Arabidopsis thaliana: one gene and its partners. The protein of the gene in region 2 interacts with the protein of the main gene of each other region in a biochemical or structural test. Each region holds a gene or a part of one and is shown on either strand. Other genes may lie near its edges.

Region 1 (4,144 bases), on a different chromosome or scaffold from region 2:
AGCGTAACCTAACACATTAATGAATAATGATGCATGTATAATGTGTTTCATGTGTGTTGAAAGTTGTAACTAGTGATTTAGACTACAGATAGGAGAAAACTTAATGGAATTATTCAACCTATCTCTTGTCTTGATTACTGATTAGTCTTCTTCTTCTATGCATATATTTTCACCAAAACATGCTTCCCTTTGGATACTATGCATGTTTGAAACAATAAAATAGGAATAAGATATTGATTATAACCAAAAAAAAAAAAGTGTTATTTACCCTATGATCCTTATTTAAATTTGTAATCGATAATAACAAGGTGGAAGAACATATAAACATCATATTTTTGTCATATTGCATAATTAATGGTATGGTTCATTATACATACGAAATTACGAACTGGAAATCTTAATTATTATTGAAAAGACAAAAAGGTCACTTGAAAACAAAATTAAACAGAAGGTACAATTAAAGGAACTAGTAAAGTTATGAACAAACGATGAAGGGAACGCTCATTCTTTACCCAAAAAAGTTCAAATAAAAAAGATGGAGCACTAATTAATACGAGTATAGAGCAATACAAAGTTATAAGTGGTAAACTAGAAGTCTAGAAATCGAACATGAGGTTATAAATTGGAGCCATATATAGTCGACGACAGGTCACGGATCTGTAAGTAATTAAGAATTTTGTCATTATTTTATTTTTAGCTACATTATTTAACGTGCACTCACATAGTATAACTTTATTTTTTTCTTAATTGCATTGTATAAATGTCTGAAAATCTTTAGAGATTCGTCGAAGTGCAATCGTAATAAAAAAAAGATTTCCAAGATCATCATGGATGTTTAGTACGGGCCCTTTGTTATCATCTTGGGCTACTAAAATTCATATGGCCCATCTGTGTTCTTTGGTCAAGGACTACAAGACTTCTAACTACTTCTAACAGTTACAGTAAAACAACAACCTAATACCTAACCAAGTTGTCCGGATCACATTACCTTGATGCGTACATTATCTTGATCAAACTCTATATAATTGTAGTCATGACTCATGACTATATGTTTGCTTGAGATCTTATTTTACATATGTGGGATTTAGATGTGGATTAAGAAACGTTTTAGCATGTCTCACTCTTCCAATGGCACAAAGAAAGAAGTTCACATAAGAACCTTTTTTTGATAGTCACATAAAGAGAGGAAGAAGAGAGAGTCCAAAATGAAACAACAATGGACAGAGATGTTTATGAAATTCACTCAAAATCCGAGTTCGACGGCCGGGATCATTCCACCAGAAGCTACAATCTGTTGCTCCAGCTGCATAGATTCGATCATCAAAACCAAAATTGAATCAGATAAGTTTCAAATGTTGATCAAAATATTGTATAACTAGATAAGAGTTATGTGGGTGGTTTTATAAAAAAAAAAAAAGTCTCTTTGACTTTTTACCTTGAACAGAGTCTCTAATCTGTTTTTCACAAGATAATACTCTTGCTTCACTTGTTGCAAACATCTATGACATCTGAAATTTTTCAACGATGTATTTTCCTAATCAGATCTTAAAACAAAGAAATAACGAATGGACCAACGAACATATCGATTAAACTCACGCTTCGACATTTTGCTGCTCGCAGAAGCTGCGGAAGACAACACAAGCATTCTTAACTCTCTGTGCTCCTATACTGTTATTTTTTGGCAATATATATTGTTACACATTTCAAGATCAAGAAAATGTCATTATCATTGGATTAAAATCAGAAATAGCCAGTTTTGTTTTTGTTGTTACCTGGAGCTGCTACCTTTGAGTTGATGAACATGGGGATCAACTTTTTTAAAGTCTACAACTTGTTGATCTCTGCCCGAAGCATAAAAAAACAGTGAGAAACACAAGTTTTGGAAAAGAACAAAAAAAAAAAGATTAAAGAGAGAATGTGTAAAGAAGATTACAGGGAAAGTGAGAGATCATTGAGAATCCTATCAGAGTCTTGGAAGAAGAGTGTGACAACTTGTGAAACAAAATCTGGATTGCTTTCATCTTGTAGTTGTTGCAGCTGCAAGAACTGGCTGTCCAAAATCCCCTTTTTTGTATTTACCCAAAACAAAAGACTTTCCATAATCAGAAACTAATTTTACATAACCTAAACTCATGATTATCTTACCAAAGAAACTACAAAAGCCTAACACATTTTTACTATAAGTCCTAAAACCATTTTTACTACAAGTCCTAAAACCAGAAAGAAAAAGTTGTGAACGTTAAAACAAGTTTTCTGATTATTTGATCTTTTCAAATGTGAAAAACTTACTTCTAAGAAGAGTGATTTGGTGTAATCTTGCAAACTCTTCTGCTTCTGAACCAAATCCATATTCTCTGTTATTTGCTTTTGTTCTTTATTTCTTTGTTTCTCTCTGCCAATAATGGAGGTAAGAAAATGTCCAACAAAATCCTCAGTACTTAAAAGATGAGAACAAAATCCTCCGTATCAAAAAACCCTATTTTTTAAATTTAAATAGTTTGTATTTTATTATTACAATTTTGGTTTGGATGTGAGAAAAGAATCCAAAAAGAAAGAAACTCTTAAAGAATGGAAGTTGGTCGTGCTGTCAACTGTCTAACCATTCGCGCCTTTTTTTCCTCGTTTTTTTTGCAAATGTGATAAAGACATAAGAAGAGCATTTGATACTTCTTGATTTGTCTTTTTTTTTCTTAAGATTTTAAAACATTTTATTGGTTCGAATATTTAAATTACTGTACTACTGATGAAAAGCATATACTAATATGCACAGCTCGCATTCAATGTATCTTTCAAATAGCATCTCTAGGGAAACTTTATTTGTAATATAATTTTGATTTGATCCTCATTGTTTTTGTCCAACTAGCAATTCTTTTATTATAATAATACATTGATTGGTTAGTTTATTTTATATTGATGTATCACAAATATCGTAACGTAATGGGTTTATCAAGGAAATTGTGACTTTGAGAACTCAAATGCCGCCTAACACTTTGTAATGTTGTTCAAAACCAAAACTAAATGCAGCTTATAATTTCTTTAGTCATATATCTCGTCCAATCATTTGGTGGAATTCTTATTAAACTAGGATTTATCATATTTTGTGTTATACCAATATTTTTCATTATAATCAACCACTTATCACAATTCAAATGTTTTTTCGTGATTTCTCAAAGCTTTTCTATTTACTCGTTTGTCACTTGCTCTATAAATTTCTTTCAACTAACAATATTTCAAAACAACCTAACAATATATATGCAATAGCTCATATCCTTTCAATCTTTCATAGAGTACTACATACAATATATTTTTACGTAACATTTTCAACTACAACGATCAGCACACCAGTCTCATCTTTTTCAACCACACTATTTCTTCATTTGCATATCCCTGGTATTTTCGTCACTCCAAATACTTTCCCAATCATACTCATACACACCATTCTTATCTATTTCCTCATGCACAGTAAAATGACAATTTTTTCCTTAGACAATTCGTATTTTCAATAACAATTTCAACACGTCAAGCCAAAATAAAAATAGTAAATTAGTTTCACTGTATTAATTTCTGCAAATTTGGGTAAACATCAACGCTTTGACACGTCTCACATGATGAATGGACATGGGACATGCAAGAACGTAGGATGCGTTTAACGAATGGCATAAAACGTATTATATATACTAACTAACCAAAGATTATTAGTGGTTCTTACTTGATAATGGGTCCATCGTAAGAAGGTTCCATCACTAATTATGGACCTTTCAAATCTTATTATGAATTTTGATATCTTACATTATATTATCTCCGTATAAAAGTTAAACTGTGCTTCCTTAGTTTTTAACAAATTTATACGTAAAAAGTCAAGAAAGAGTTTGCACTCACCCATATCTCCAAGCAATTTATTATAAGAAAATCCTTATAGCCAATAGCCATATCAAGTTTTTAAAAAGGTTTAAAGCTAGAATACAAGTCGCTGTAGACGCAGCCAAATACGATATTATTTACTAAAAACAAATAAAAGGTAAACATGCAGAACGAGTTAGTCGATTTGTTGGTTCACTGCCAATTTCAGGTTAAGTTCAATTTACACAAGTAAAATAAATTAGTTGTCAATTTTATCTCGTGTATGGGCTTGGTTGGTTCAACC
Region 2 (4,705 bases):
GAGATCAACATGGCCTCATATTGATGGTGAAATTTTTGATACATAAAGCTAGAGAGCACAATTTGGAAGAGAATAATTACTAGCTCACAAAAAAGTCTAAGAATCAATAGGATAGGAGATATAACTCAGACAACATAAGAGTGATACCAAGGAAGGAGAAAGACCAATCTATGTTATCCAACAAATGCTTTGTAGATTAGATATGAGCTTATGTTGACATTAATCTGGATTTTCGGATTTGAGATTCAACTATATTTCCATGTACGTATAGACTAAAATTGAGTTTCTATATGATCCATTGATCCTGTAACAAAATCTAGACGTCAAAATGAAAATATTCAAGTGTACATGATTTTGAGTATTGTATAATTAGGTCAACTAATCAATTACTTTTATTTCTACAAATATATTATACTATGTAGAAAATATTTACAATAATGATTAGAATATAAAGATGCTCCAAACCTCAATCGAGTACCAACATAAAATTAATTAAAGGGAAAATGTCAATGTCTTTAATTTTGTAATTGATGTCCAAAGTTCCTAGAAAAAAGATAGATTACGATTTTATGTGCGACACGTTGATGACTACTTTTATGGATTTTTTTGTTCAACCCTCGATTTTGAGTTGACATCATGAAGATTTGATCCATCATTCGTTGGCCCATATCGTTTGAAAAATCAATTCTCAAATCAATCTTAAATTTCGCGTAATTATTTTATAAAAATGGGCAATATATCCATTGTAAGATTTGTCTATTTCACGCGTCATTTTTCTTTCTACTTTGTTAGATGTTTTTGGTTAATGTAGAAAAACGATTAAATTAGAGACACTATCAATTAGAAGAAACAAAAGTCTTTTGATAAAACTCTACTTTGATCATCCACGACTGTGATCGATAACTTCTAAGCAACCTTGAAACCTGATCTTTTGAGCTTTAACTTTAAGTAGGAAAATGTCATAGTATTGGATTTGGTCGTCTTTAGTTTACATTCAATCTGGAATAAATTTGTTTCTCTAGAAAAAATAAAGAGCCAAAGAATCATTATATATATTTATTGTTCTCATGTTTATATACCTATTTTTTCTTAATAGTAGCTCTTTATTATCAAGAGATTTTTAAAAACACCTATATTGTCATAACATTTTCATAAAATTTTTAAAAATAAAATAGAAAATCAAAACATTTACCCTTTCAACAAAAAGAAATAATAATGATATTTTATATAAAAAAATATAATAAATGGGTGGGAAAGAGAAAGCAAAAGCGATCTCCAAGATTTGATACGGTGTGGTGTCTAAAAGAGTGAAACAGCAAATTATGTTTGGAAGATTAAAGAAAAAAAAGAAGAAGAGAGGTAAAGTCCAATTCCCCCTTTCATTAATACAAATTGTTCCCAACAAAATATTTATGGGTCCCTCTTTTAGATTTCCCTGGGTCCCGCGGATCCAAATTTTAATGTGGACGTCAAATCCTTTTTTTTTATTATTATTTGTCCACTTTCCTCTTCTTCTTTTTTTTTTTTTTGCCATTTGAAAACGATATAAATAAAAGTGTTTGGATAACATAAAATTTCTAGAGTCATATGGATGGATATACTACTAGTTAGGCGTATACTAATTTTCTCGTCAACCCACAAAACCCGATCTTAATATTATTCTATGAATTGCATTTGAACCATAAATTTTAAATTAGAAACTGACCAATCACATGGAACAATATAAAATTGTCTTAGTGGTTAGTACTTAATACAAATAAGACCAATCCGAAGAACCGAGCCGGTTAAGTTTAAACACGCTACTATGAATTGTAATGGTGTATGACCAAAATTAGCTTCTTTAATCTTCTGGTTTATTATTCTTAACAGTGAGTGATTCCATTTTCAGTTTTTTTTTTCCAATCACACTAATGAGTAATGACGAGATTTTGACTAAGAAGTTGTATATATCTCACGATGGTATATTTTTATTTTTTGGATTCCTTTGTACGGATTTCTTCTCCTCTATTATTTATTCGATTTTAGGAATATTATTTTCTCTATGATATTCGCATAGGCCCTCCACCGGATTTTCCATAAAATCTCTATTTATTAATACTATTGTTTTCAAAGATAAAAGTTCAATTTTTTCAACCCTAAAAGCACGGCACATAAAAATATATAATTTTCACATTAATAGGAACCAAAGATTTTGTTGGATTTTCCTCGCTGGAGATTTTTCAAAATAAAAATTGAAAAAACCAAAAAGACACACTCATAAAAGATTTATTTTAGAGAACAAAAAAATCAGAAATATAAAAAACTGTCTTAAGGAAGAGAAAGGAACAAAAGAAAACAGATGTGAGCTCTTCTTCTTCGTCTTCTTCTCTCTATTTTATTCTCATCCTCTCCTCACAGTTACTATAAGCTCGTCTATGGCCAGAGACGGTGGTGTTTCTTGTTTACGAAGGTCGGAGATGATGAGCGTCGGTGGTATCGGAGGAATTGAATCTGCGCCGTTGGATTTAGATGAAGTTCATGTCTTAGCCGTTGATGACAGTCTCGTTGATCGTATTGTCATCGAGAGATTGCTTCGTATTACTTCCTGCAAAGGTTCGTATTTTTTCAAAAAAAAAAACATCTTTCACTTTTTTTTATTCCTCGCCGGAATATTTACATCTCCGGTGGTATCGTTTGTCAGTTACGGCGGTAGATAGTGGATGGCGTGCTCTGGAATTTCTAGGGTTAGATAATGAGAAAGCTTCTGCTGAATTCGATGTAAGTTATTGAAATCTGATACAGCTTTTTGTTTTTTTTGAAGATTACGATTCGTGAGTTTGATTTAGTTTAAATGGATATTTTCAGAGATTGAAAGTTGATTTGATCATCACTGATTACTGTATGCCTGGAATGACTGGTTATGAGCTTCTCAAGAAGATTAAGGTCTGCATTTTCCCGCCATTTTCCTGTTTCAGATTACGGTTGTTTTAGTAACAATGTTGAATTTTCCGGTCATCTGAAACAGGAATCGTCCAATTTCAGAGAAGTTCCGGTTGTAATCATGTCGTCGGAGAATGTATTGACCAGAATCGACAGGTGTGATTCTTGTTGATTTCTTCACAGATTTTGGAGTTTTTAGAAACTGTTGATTGATTTGATAAAATTTTGTAAAAAAAAAAAATGATTTTTGAACAGATGCCTTGAGGAAGGTGCTCAAGATTTCTTATTGAAACCGGTGAAACTCGCCGACGTGAAACGTCTGAGAAGTCATTTAACTAAAGACGTTAAACTTTCCAACGGAAACAAACGGAAGCTTCCGGAAGATTCTAGTTCCGTTAACTCTTCGCTTCCTCCACCGTCACCTCCGTTGACTATCTCGCCTGAATCGTCGCCGCCGTTGACTGTTTCGACTGAATCGTCGGATTCGTCTCCGCCGTTATCTCCGGTGGAGATCTTTTCCACCTCGCCACTTTCATCTCCGATAGACGATGAAGATGATGACGTGTTGACGTCGTCGTCGGAGGAATCGCCGATTCGACGGCAGAAGATGAGGAGTCCCGGATTAGATTAGTGGAACTATTCTGGGATGCCGTGTAATATTATCTATCTCCGTTAACTTCGTTTTTACCTCTGACGGTGTTTTTAATTGCACGTTGACTTGACGCCGTCAAATTTTATAGATGTCCCTTTAATCTCTCGCGCCTCCACGTGGGCCTTTTTTCCTTTTCCTTAAAGCTTTTCGAATATCTTTTAATTATTTTAATTTCTGCACAAAGTTACGTTTTTAACTTTTTTAGTCTTTAAACAAAGGGAAAATTGCAATCGAACCTTCGACATTCACCATTTATTATGATAACGAGACTTGAATATGCGTTTTTTTCTTATGTATTGGGTCCTAAATAAGTCAATATCATAGACATATGGGGTTTTATAATCAGAAAGTTAGCTAGATCTGACAATTCAAGAATCAGAGAGCTAAGGTTTTTTTTTCCAGATACAAATCAACTAGTAACATTTGAATCCACTATAGTCATTAAACAGTTCCATAAATATATATCAGTTTTATGACCCAAAATACTCCTATTAATGACTATAAGCCGATGCTCTAATTTTTTTGGCTAAATTATAAATATTTCATAGATAATGAAAACAATTTAGGTTACAAACATAAAATTTGAAACTTATACATATGAATTTATAGTAAAAAAGAATAAAAATATAAATGCATAAAAGGCGGTTAATTAAAACCAAATTTTGGGTCCATTTTTCAACCTTGCAATGAAGCTAAGGGAATAGATGAAACGATGACGTTCAATTCTATCCTTCCCAAAAGAGATGCACAAGCCGATGCTCTAATGCAACTTTGAATATACATATTTAACCCAAGAAAAAAATGCTTATAATATACGACGAAGTAGTGGATGCATCATTATGCATGTGTAGATGTGTAGAGAGTAAGCAAGAAAATAAAAAGAAGAAAGAAGGAAGAGGAAGAAAGAATAAATGCAAAGCTGGAAATGGGCAACTCTTGTTCCCTTCCTTTGGGGCATATTTCTCCATAAATAGTCTCTATAGATCCCTTGTCTCTGGCACCCATTTTGGTGTTTCTTTTTTTATGGTCATGTGTTTTTACCATTTGGATCCAAGTAAGATCTTCACATTAGAAACCACGACCAATATAATTAAGCTTGGGATAGCTTTAACTTTTGTATATATGTTGCTTAAC
Region 3 (4,579 bases), on a different chromosome or scaffold from region 2:
GTTCATATACATCGCTAACAACGCGTTCTGCACATACTTATCCCTACCAAACCAACTCCTCAAGATCCTCCCATGAACAACCAACCCCAATTTCATCGATTTCAATTCTCCAGCAGCTTTAGCAACAAAAGGGTATGTATAACCATCCGGAACACACTTAACCCCCTCACTAACCATCCTAATAAACACGCTAATCGCATCGTGATACAATCCTTCACGCACGTACATTCTAATAACAATGTTATAAGAAAGCAAAGAGCTTTGAGGCATTTCCTCGAACAGCTTCCGTGCATAAGTGATGTGACCACATAACGCATAAGTTACGGAGAGAGTCGAGAGAATGTGGCCGGAAACTCGACCGCCGGTGATGACGTGGCAGTGTAAAGCTTTGGTTTTTGAAATTGATTGAGTAGCTGCAAAGTGATTCAAGAGAGATTGGTATTGCTTGACGCTACTAAGTGCGTTGTTGGCTCTGCGCAAAACTTCACTCATTTAAAGAAAAAAACGACTGTTGAAAAATCTATTGGGTCGCAATTTTTTAAAAGCAACGACATATCTAACCAAACTGCGTGACGTTTGTATTTTACAGTGAGAAATGCTTGACGTTTTCTTATTTTACAGTAAGAACTGCGTGACGTTTGTATTTGACAGTGAGACTGCGTTGACGTTTTGTATTTCACAGTGAGAACTGCGTGACGTTTTCTTTCTTAACATTAGCTGATGGGTTTAACTTTAGGTTTCAGCTTTCACAGGGGACACTTGTGAGTGTTTGTTCTTGGTTTGTTCCTTTTGCCAATGTCTTCGTGAAGCTTTTTGCTTTCAGAGTCTATTCTTTTGCGCGTTGTCTTGTGTAGCTCTCCTTGAATTTTCTGCTTCTTATGATGCTTCTGTGTCTGGAAATATTCCTGTTTTTGAATACATAACTCACTCTTGTTCATATGGTCTTATGAGATGCAAATTCATACTATTCAGATAAGATCAGTACCAAGATTCAAGAGATGATGATACAAAAGATACATAGTATTGATCTATGAACAACAATCACCTCTCTTTTCCACACATTCTCAAGAGTTTTTTTTCTTTTTCGAAGCAACAAATTCGAGTAGTACTCGTCTGAAGAATGCAACTGGATGATCATCATCTTGCTGTTCTGTTGTCGATAGGTCTATTGTTTATATATCCACTTGAGGGATTCTACCACCAGCTTGGACAATCTGTTGCTCAAGCTGCAACAAAACAATGCAAGACTTATTCACGAAATTCGAAAGCAAAAAACCGACACAATTCACGTAGCTTTTCACTCACATTGAACAGATCTTGAAGCTTTGCTTTTAATGTCTTGTACTCAATATCCACTTGCTGCAAACATCTCACACACCTATAACAGAGATTGTTTCCCAAATTAGTTTCAACAATCAAATGAACATAGCAGAAATTTGAGATTCTCTTAAAGAAGAACCGGAAAACAAAAGCTTACCCTTCATAGTTCTGAGAGTCGCAACACTCCTTGAGGGTAACACAAAGACCTTTGACTCTCTTGGCACCAACACTTCATAGAACAACAAGAAAGGAGCTCTTCACTGAGACTAGATCCGAGATTAGACTAAAGGACCGAGACTATACAGATCAAATGTGACATACCTTGAGCTACTACCTTTGAGTTGATGAACACTAGAACCTACCAGTTTGAAATCTACATTTCCTGTCTGATCTCTGAGTATACATATGAACCAATCATTAAACCATATCTGCTAGCTTTTGATGATTAAACTCGTAAAAGAAAAGTAAACTTACAAAGCTCTAGCCATATTACTGATAAGCTTCTCACAGTCTTCAAAGAAGAGAGTAACAACCTCAGCCACAAAATCAGGACTACATTCATCTTGCAGCTTTTTCAATTCTGTGAATTGATCATCCAAAAACCCCTTTACAAAACCAACACAAAGAATCTCAGAAACCCATTTCACAAAATTCCCAATTCCAAATACAAGCTCCAAGTACCCTAAAAACAGTAGAGAGTAGTCATCCCTAAAAAGAAGACAACTTTGAAAAAGAGACAATAACCCATTTCACAGACCCTAAACCCAATTCCCAAAATCCCCAATTGCCATATACAAGCTTCAATAAGAACCCTAAAAACGTAACCACAAATTCAAAGTTTGCTTCACCAGAAAAGTAATCACTTTGAAAGGAGACGACTTTGAAAATGGAGACAATAACCCATTTCACAATCAGTAAACCTAACTCTTAAATCCCCAGTTTCCAATTTAAAAGCTTCAATAAGAACCCTAAAGACTGTGGAGAGCCATCTCTAAAAAGGAGACTTTAAAACTCAACCACAATTTCTAAGTTCTCTTCACAAGAAAGTTAATCACTTTTATCCTGAATCTCTAAGGAGAGATGCTAAAATTTACCTGGTGATAGAGACTAATGGTGAAATCACAAAATCGTCTCTGTAACTGAGCAATGAGTGTGTCCATGGCTCTCTCTACTCGTCGTGAAGGCAAAAGCAGAGAGAAGAAGAAGATGTAAAGTTTGTTTGAAATTGCAATCCCAATAAAGAGATTCTTACAGATCATCAAATTTGGACAGAAATAAATAAAGAAATAGTCACAAAGCTTTTCCATAAAGGGCAGAGAAAAAGAATTAGAATATGATTAGTTGTCAAAAAGACAACTTTTACAAGTGAGAAACATTGATTTAGGCCATAAAAAATGGAATCTCTAATTCATGATTGATACATTCATTCATTCACTCAAAGTTTTTAGCATTTTCCAATGTTAGGTATGTTTCTGTTATGTCAATCCACCAACACTAAGAATCTCTCACGCTGGAAGATTCTCTATAGACAAGTTCATTTGAAGCATTACCGTGTGGACAAGACTGAAGAACATTGGTTCTATTCTTTTGACATGAGCTTCAGAGAATCATATACTCTCATCAACTTGACCTCATGAAAACAACTTATAGTGGCAGATTTTGCTGTTTATGACAAACTAAAGGGTTTTTTGCACTAATATTAAGTTGTTTGGTAACATACTTATTAATATTATATCGTAGAGGCATTTAGAGTTCTTTCTTACCAAAATACTCTACCTTCTTTTTTTTTGCTATAACAGATTTTGATATTGGACTTGTTTTTTCGGCTGTTTAGATCTTTTTTTGTTTGAGTGAAATGTTTTATTTTTCAATTTGTTGGAAACAACTAATATGATCGCGAGTGTCATTTTGAGAGTTGCGGAGGCAGCGAGCTGGCTATATAGTAAGGTCAAAGGAGGTAAATCTGGCTTTATTCGGTAACACATCTAAGTTTAGACATCGAAAGCAAGAACTTTTGTTTAGAGGCATTCACATTTAAACTAGGAAACTTTGGGTGAGAAGTCCACACGTCTTGGCTATATATGAATTGCTAAGCTGAAGCAATATGAGGTGTTACATACCTCCTGCAAAATTAAGGTCTATATAATATAACTAGAGCCACCCCAAGCAAAATTAAACAATGGTTGTTAGCGCCAACAAATTTGTAAGGTTTATTTAGAAAATATTAGCATATATAAATGGTATAACTTATGGTGAAAGATTCATATATATGCTTAGGATAGTATATAATGATTAAGAAAACAAAGTGTAAAATTATAAGTGTTAAATCTTGGTGACCTGAGTTGAGTTGAGAATTGAGTTGTGAGATTAATACCAAAGAAAAAAGTGACCTGACTTGGATCTTAAAATCTTTCTCTTTTTTTGATGAGACGGATCTTAACATCTCTCTCGTTTATTGGTAAGGATCTTAACTACTCTCTTTAATTTAGTAAATATTAATTTAAAGAGATCTAAATGTCCCAAAATCTTAATAAAATTATAAAAAACTCCAAAAAAGAACATTCGGTCCGTGTGTAGCTATGTTCGGATTAAACGTTTTTAATAGGTAGGTATTGGATCACCCCATGCTTAGCAAATTTTTAAACACTAGATATATATATACAAATTTACTATCACAACACAAAAGATAAAGATCCACCTTTGGGAGGGCAGACCATGCACCACACCATTAATTAGAGATCTTGCATGCATATTGATCTCATAGATGCAACATTTGTGGAGAATGAAAATACCATCCCAAAAATTGAATATCATGGAGGAAAATAATTGCAACTTGTCCGTCAAGGATAAATGCCTCGTGTAGAAATCATCATAACACCACGTACAACTCCATGATATTGCTCTAGAACATATCTATTGTTCGTAAAGAGAGAGAATTAAGAATGTTCAACACTTAACATCTAGAAGAAATATATTCCATTAATTAATTTATAGGAATTTAATTTAGGTAAAGCAAGTCCATATCAAAACGCAAAAGAATTTAGAAAGTCCATCATTTGACAAACTAAAGAACAAACTATTGATGAAAAGTACTTAGCGAAGATAGCGGCAAATAGGGTGGTCTCCAAACAAAGTTGCATTCCTTTGAGAGCCAGGCTCGAACCTTAACATGGCTTCATCACACGCATAGTTCATCTTTCCACTTGTCCCATATCTACAATCCGGAAGAAGCAATCGCGATCGGAACCTTATTTCACCT
Region 4 (7,127 bases), on a different chromosome or scaffold from region 2:
AACAAGCAATATGCTTAAACCAAGAAAGAGAGATATTGACATAACCAAAAGTGTACTAGAAACCATTATAAGTTTTGAAGGTTTTAGGTGGGTTTAAGGGTTTGAATTGGGTTTGAGACATTTAGAAGGCTATTGATTGGTGAGTATTTATAGAGCATATATAATGGAGTTTTGATTCCTTAATGATTAGTTATATATTGTTAATATTTCAGTCTTTGAGCTTTACTTTAATTTTCTTTAAGAAAAAAGGTGAGTTTAGTGTGGGTAATGTGAAAAACGAAACAGCCTGGAGAGCATACACATCAAAACTATAGTGCGATACATCATAAACATTAAATTAACTATTGTTAATGTGTTACATCCTAAGCTTAGCCAGCCTAATTTAAACATCTCACTTTTTATATATATAGTGGAGTTTGTAAAATTTCAACTTTTTGGACGGTACCATTTCATCATAAATCTTTTAAAATTAATGTGATTGGCCTTTACCTCTTGATTGCGTAGACAGACTAATTGGATATAATATGATTTATAAATGGTTAACAATCAAATAATAATTTTGAATTGATGTAACGAGTAACAAATTAAAAGGATTGGTCATCGATTAATATGCTCTCTTCTTATCTCATTGTTTTGTTTCTCTCGGAGTTGTCAATTTACACAGCACAAACAAAAGTCTTGAAATTCTCTACAACTACTGTTACGTTTTTTTTCCGGCGAGCTGAGCTGAACGCAAATAATCTCCCTCTTCTCTACTAATCTCACCGGAAACAAAAAAAAAACTTTCTATCCTCCTCCGACGTCGTTAGACACACAAACACTCATACAATGATACAAACTCTCATACCAACTGAAGTGTGACTAATATGGCATCATCAGCATCATGTCACCACTTCCACTAGCAGTTGACAATGGTCGCTTTCGAGGTACAGGGAGTTCCAGAATGATGAGGAAATAGGACCGTTCTGATTCTCGGATGTATTGAACCTCACCGTTCATTAGCTTTAAAATCTTTCGACATACGCTTAGACCTAAACCTTCAGGGCTTGTCCACCTGCTGCTATGGAACATGTCTCGGACTAGCTCTGGAGGCAGACCTTCACCTGGACACGCCATTCTGCAAACAACGAATAAAGACATAACAAAGACACCAACACATGAAACCCAAGTTTTACACTTTTGAGCTGGTTTTCATCAATTTGAAAACATTACATTCCTTGACTGCTAATTCTAGGCCTATGGATGTGTCTAAAAGTTCCCAAGTCGACTAAACCGAATACAAAAATCAAACTAATCTAGGTTCCAACTAAACAATAACCAAAACAAATAGTGAATTGGTTAAAACCTCAAATTCTTTAAACGCCTAAATCAAATTCGTAATTAACCAAACCAAATTCATTTTCTTTATGTACAAAATAAGGAACCAAAAAAACCGGATTGCATAATTTTGGTTATGGATATGTGGAGACAACAGCGGGAACAATGAAATGTACCTGAATTCTGTGCGGATGGCGGCGAATCCATCAGCCATTTGCTTTGAAAGTTGGCTTAAATGGATCTCCACCCACTCTTGAGATGGTGCATACCGGATTATACTCAGCAGAAACTCAGCCAGGAGCTGTTGAATCCTTATCTGGTCTCCAAAAACCTCTATTGATTTGATCTCTTCGGGAATGTCACGGATCAGCTGAAGACCTCTGTCCCTTAATAAGAACATCGCTTGACTTACAATCGCGTTTATGACACTTCCAAGGAAAAACTCTTCCCTCTTTAGCACAAATGAACTGATCAATGAAAAAAACAAAATTTGGGATTTGGTCACATTTTGTGAAGTAAGCAAAACTAGCTTCTAGATAAATTCTAACTATACTCACCCGTCTTCAATGCTTTCAAGATCCATGTCCCCGACGATCCTTGAGATCTGTTTCTCGCAAGAAACACTTGTTTCAAGTAACTGCTTCTGGTCCTCGTTCAAGTCTGTGGCCTCCAACAATGAGTTTGCGAAACGCATACCGCTCAAAGGATTCTTTATCACCTGACAAATATAAGCCAACTCTTTTGCCTTCGTGAAACACTCTGTGTCCTGCCTCCGTTGGACTGCTAAAGCTTGCTGCAGCTCAGGGCTCGGGATTTGCAAGAAACAGAAAGCCCCAATAACCTTTCCCTCGAGGCTAACCCGCTTGTTTGCAGTCAATAGAGCCTGAACAAACTTCCCATTGCGGTCAAAGAATGGGAAAGGGAACTTATCCGTATCTTGGCCACCAATCGCATTATGCAATACAATCATGAACTTGGTTAAAGCATCAGGACCCTTTAGCATGCAACAGCTCCCAAACACTTCCCCGACAATCATTTTCCCAATCACTTCACTGCGAGACCAACCCGTAAGCTTTTCCATCGCCATGTTCCATTCCAGGCAGCACGTGTTCTCGTCAGCAGCAAAAATTGGCGGGATTAGAGGGTTTGGGCTATGTACAATAGCCTTGTAATCTCCTTGTATGTTGATGAACTTATCCATTACGATTTTCTGACTAGTAACGTCTTGTCCAACAAAACAAACGCCGACAATGTTGTTCAAGTAGTCCTTGCTGGAACAAGCATTCACAACCACAAAAACTGCTTTCCCTTGTAGTTCGGGGCTGAAAGTTTTCAGCTTAACCTCCACATTCTTTTCCTCGTCCCCTGCATTGCCAAATGCAACAAAATAATCAAATACCCGCGAATTGGTATATACACCGCAGATACAACATAGCTGAAGAACTGAATATACCTCTCAAAGCACGAGAAAGAAGCTTATTGACAGTTGCTTCATTCTCTTTGTATATTAAATCAGAAACCAGAGACTTCCCCATAGCTTCTTCAACTGAGAGACCTGTCAACTCTGCAATCTTAGCGTTCCATCCATTGATGCAGCCTCCGGCATCCACAGCGAATATAGGAACAGTTGCAGTCTCAATGAGCCTAACCATCTCTCTTGCAACTGCACCTAACTCATCAATCCCCTGTTCCCCCGCCATATCCCTACATGGCTGAACCACACCATCCACAACTTTAGAGTTCATAGCCGCCTCAGATTCTTTAAAAGAGTCTCTCAGAATAAGCTGGAGCGAGTGAATCGCATCCATTTCCGCAGTTTCCCATGGCTGACTCCGGCTCTTAACAACTTCAAGAAAAGCCTGAAAGGACGAACGAGGATGCATTCGTTGCCCATCATCTTTATCCTCCGGATGATGCTTAGCGCCTCCCCATTTGATTTCTTTCGCAGTGTGAGATCGAAACCAAAAAAGAAAGTCTCTTTTTGTGATATATGCAACTGCCATACCGCACACAGCATCCCCTAACGCAGCTGCACCGGGATACCCCGCATCGCCTAAACTATCAGTGCTTAATCCGGTTGAATCCGCATGATTCGCAAGCAACCACTCCACAACATCTTTTATCTGAACTTCACTAGGAGCAACACCCAACGGGTAATACTTCCCGTGGTAAAGAAATGCTGCACCGTCACATTTCACTAAGTCCATGATACTGGGACTCTGTGTAACAATTCCAGCAGGCGAGTCACGCAGAAGCATATCACATAACAGTGTCTGCGTTCTCAAAACGCGTTTCTCTGACATTTGCAAAGCTAACTGCAATTCCATGTTTAACTGTAAACCGAAAGCCTGCATCAAAAACTCACAAGCATACCTTAGCGGAAACGGTATGCAGCGAGAAGAAGTGTGATGGCAAACAACCAAACCCCAAAGCCTCATCGAGCTTCTTCCACTAGCTACATTGCTCCCATCATCTTCATTTCCATTGATTATAACCGCCATTGCTAAAGACGCAATAGATCCCATGTTAGCCATATACTGAGAGTGACAACCATGAGGAGCCCTAAGAGTAGAACCAACCAAGCACATAGACTGAGTTAGCCTATCGTCCTGGACCACAAGAACAGGTGTGGCATTGCAATCTACTATCATTCGGACACGGTTCTGCTTAAACAAGAACCTTGACGCTTGAGGAATATCAGTAGCAGGATAATGCAGTCCAATATAAGGCTCTAAATCATCTCGTTTACTCTCAGCTACAACTTCTCCATGCTCATCTTCATGAAACTTATAAACCATAACACGATCATAACCAGTCAAGTCCCTCACACTTTCCACGACAGTGTCACACAAAAGCTTAATATCTCCACCAGGAAGAGCCTGTAACTGAGAAATCGCACGAACCGCGAGTTTCTGCGATTGAACAGCACCAGCAATAGAAAGCGCAGGATCTTCAGTTCTAGCTGGCTCTAAATCAATAACAACACCAACATCAATCCTATGAAGAATGGCGTAAAACGGTTTACCAGTATTCTTGGAATGGATCCAAACCGGATTTAACAAGGTAATCTCTCGAGCAACGAAAGCACGCTCGAGTAGAATCGAGCTCGAAGAAGTGAACAAAGATCTCACATCAGTTCCCATAGCTAGAATCTCAGGTTTCTCAAGAGTAGGAACAGATTGAGGCATAATCCCTAACATTTCTCTGGCGTTTTCACTGTAACCGATGATCCGGAAACTGGATTCATCGACGGCGATCATACATCCGAAAGGCTGAATGTAACCACCTCGCTGGATTCGAGAGAGATAAGCTGTGATCTGTTGCTCAGGTACAGAGGAACCGTACGTCGTCGTTTTGAGTGATTGTGAGTAGTCGAATGATTTCCCTGATTCGCCGGATTGTTCGAAAACGGCGTGGAGTCTTGCGTCGACGGTGTACTGTTGAATTGCTTTGCTCATTGATTCAGTGTTGCTTCTTGGTCTGAGAGATTTCGTTCCCGACGATTGAGCTTGTTCTCCTCCTCTTCGGTTATTAGGAGTGTGACTTGACGACGGTTCTTCTTCTCCGCCACGGCCACCGCCACGGCCACCGCCACTACCCCCGACTCCGGAAACCATGCCGTTTGATTTTGAATTTGAGAAATTTCTCAGAATTACCTTGAGACAAGGAAGGATTTAGGGTGAATCATCATCCACTAGTTATCGGAGACGAATTCTGGTAGAGCTAAATTCTCAAGAATTTTGAACTTGAGGAAGAAGAAAATGGGGAGAATTGAGATCGGAGATAAGTGGAGAAACCAATAAAATAAATTGAAGAAGACGAAGCAAAATGTGTGCCTCTCAGATAGAGAGAGATAACAAAAAAAAATCAGAGTTTTTTTTTTTTTTGTCGTCTTCGCTTTTTGTTTCCTCATATATTTTCTGCGACTTTTTTTGTGTGGCGATTTTAGCAAATTACCTTTAAAGTTTTGATATTTATCAATTTAACCCAGAAGAGCTTTTGTTTTGTCGTTTAATGTGAGGGAGAGATTGATTGGGCCCAAGATCACGTGGGCTAATGGTTTATTCTCTCTAGTGGCCACACGTGGTTGCTGGGCCCATTGCGCGTGGGAGGGAGCCCCTGGACTTGTCGAATCGCATCATCAATTACGATTTCGAATTCGTACTATACAAGTTTGGTTTCTTCAATATCTTATCGTGGGTCAAGTCAACCAAGTGGTGTCCTCTCTATACAAATATTGAAATGTTTTATACTCTCATCGTACGTATATACTTCTCATAATTTGTACTAGATAGAATATAGAATCACATATTGGTCTCAAAGGGGTTCGAAGTAGTATTAGCACGCTCCATGCGGAATAGAATCATAAATTTTGCATAGTAAACTCGTCTAATACATAAGATATATTTTGGTCCACTTTGATATATACGTTGGATCTATATCATTACATTTTGTATAATACATGCATTGTACTACTTAGCATTACGTTTTATTGAATATATGCAATTCTTTTTTGACATATTAATGATTCTAAATTTGGATTATTTGGTGAAAGCATACAATTATGGTGCTTCGAAAAAAGAACATAAAATAAATTAAAGTAATGATAAAGAGGAAAAAAAGAGAGCAGAAAAACATATAAATGAGAAAAATCGTGTGCATGAAAAGTTAAGGGTCCATTACATAAATGATTTTGGGCCGCTCACAGTTTCATGTTAAGTCACTGCGTTCGTCCTTTTCTTTTGTTGAATGACTAATTTCTCCATCTCGTGTTGTTTGTTTTCAAAGCTCTATCATAATAAGTTAAGTATAACCGACCACTTTTTCTTTTTAACACTATTACATATATAAACATCCATGTTACCATGTATGAAGACAAAAACGATTATCTTATATACCCATAAAATATTATGGACCAAAAGTGAATAGTGAAAAGAAAACAGAAAAAAATTGGAATGACAAAAGAAAAACACACTATTCGTTGACAAAACAAAAGTTTAAATGTTTATTAGTGAGTAATGACCTCATATGTTTTGGTCTTATCTTGGACGAGATATGATTGGATGTCCACGAATTTAATCATGTACCTGTTCGCACTAGAGTGTACTAGTTCGTTGGCTAAGAATCGTCCACGTACAATAGTTTTAAACCACCAGTAATTTACCACGTGCCACTGAAATCAAATTAGCTAATAAACTACTCAATTACCAAATCACCCTTATAAACTCTCAATGATTCTTTAGGCTTGGCTGCTAATTTCTTAAAACTTTTGCATAACTTTTGCATAAATAAGAATAAGACAAAAGATGAAATTAATATAAGGGTACAATCGTAATTCAAGAATTTCCAAAATTCGTTCTTTAGTATAACGAAGAACTAGCTAGACATTATTAGGCATTGGGGCATACTTTAAAGCCCAAAACTAAGCCCTCCCATACTAATAAATCAGGAGCCCAAATTGGAAAAAACGACTTTAATAGCCTTTGGGTAATACTTTAAAGCCCAAGCCCAATTTAGAAACATCTAACATTTCTGAAGTGTTCGTTCTCTCATAATCTCTGAAGAAATCAGAGTAAAAGGTAAAGTAAAATTTCTTCGATATGCAAAAACAATCAACGACGATGCTCTCGGATCTTCCAAAGGATGTGGCGGAGGAGGTGCTCTCGAAGTTTCCAGTGACATCTCTGAGAAGAGTACGATTCACATGCAAAAAGTTGAACACTTTATCCAAAGATATGTCTTTTACAAGGAAGCACATCGATAAAGAAGAAGCAAAGAAGAAGCAGAGTAAGGAGTTTCATGTTGTGATG

What was found.
Region 1: the proteins of ARR4 (region 2) and AHP1 form a complex in vitro, tested with the Arabidopsis thaliana proteins (2 studies listed by BioGRID, with this or other methods).
Region 3: the proteins of ARR4 (region 2) and AHP3 form a complex in vitro, tested with the Arabidopsis thaliana proteins (one study listed by BioGRID).
Region 4: the proteins of ARR4 (region 2) and PHYB form a complex in vitro, tested with the Arabidopsis thaliana proteins (one study listed by BioGRID).

Annotation. Positions count from the first base shown.
Region 1 is NC_003074.8:7,577,189-7,581,332, forward strand, and holds AHP1 (histidine-containing phosphotransmitter 1), read right to left. Parts: upstream 2,602-4,144; 5' UTR 2,350-2,601; coding exon 2,290-2,349; intron 2,065-2,289; coding exon 1,934-2,064; intron 1,842-1,933; coding exon 1,773-1,841; intron 1,669-1,772; coding exon 1,597-1,668; intron 1,509-1,596; coding exon 1,436-1,508; intron 1,304-1,435; coding exon 1,244-1,303; 3' UTR 524-1,243; downstream 1-523. UniProt on the Arabidopsis thaliana protein: Functions as a two-component phosphorelay mediators between cytokinin sensor histidine kinases and response regulator (B-type ARRs). Plays an important role in propagating cytokinin signal transduction through the multistep His-to-Asp phosphorelay.
Region 2 is NC_003070.9:3,441,469-3,446,173, reverse strand, and holds ARR4 (response regulator 4), read left to right. Parts: upstream 1-1,813; 5' UTR 1,814-2,414; coding exon 2,415-2,592; intron 2,593-2,680; coding exon 2,681-2,757; intron 2,758-2,844; coding exon 2,845-2,922; coding exon of another isoform or gene 2,923-3,004; coding exon 3,005-3,075; intron 3,076-3,174; coding exon 3,175-3,550; 3' UTR 3,551-4,186; downstream 4,187-4,705.
Region 3 is NC_003076.8:15,746,842-15,751,420, reverse strand, and holds AHP3 (histidine-containing phosphotransmitter 3), read right to left. Parts: upstream 2,691-4,579; 5' UTR 2,628-2,690; coding exon 2,415-2,627; intron 1,926-2,414; coding exon 1,795-1,925; intron 1,714-1,794; coding exon 1,642-1,713; intron 1,550-1,641; coding exon 1,478-1,549; intron 1,379-1,477; coding exon 1,306-1,378; intron 1,227-1,305; coding exon 1,173-1,226; 3' UTR 530-1,172; downstream 1-529. Other genes in the region: AT5G39350 (Tetratricopeptide repeat (TPR)-like superfamily protein), read right to left, coding at 1-492; AT5G39330 (transmembrane protein, putative (DUF1163)), read right to left, coding at 4,414-4,579.
Region 4 is NC_003071.7:8,137,886-8,145,012, reverse strand, and holds PHYB (phytochrome B), read right to left. Parts: upstream 5,251-7,127; 5' UTR 4,935-5,250; coding exon 2,771-4,934; intron 2,683-2,770; coding exon 1,875-2,682; intron 1,785-1,874; coding exon 1,494-1,784; coding exon of another isoform or gene 1,364-1,493; exon of another isoform or gene 1,118-1,363; coding exon 862-1,117; 3' UTR 552-861; downstream 1-551. Other genes in the region: XTH21 (xyloglucan endotransglucosylase/hydrolase 21), read right to left, coding at 1-66; AT2G18780 (F-box and associated interaction domains-containing protein), read left to right, coding at 6,918-7,127. UniProt on the Arabidopsis thaliana protein: Regulatory photoreceptor which exists in two forms that are reversibly interconvertible by light: the Pr form that absorbs maximally in the red region of the spectrum and the Pfr form that absorbs maximally in the far-red region.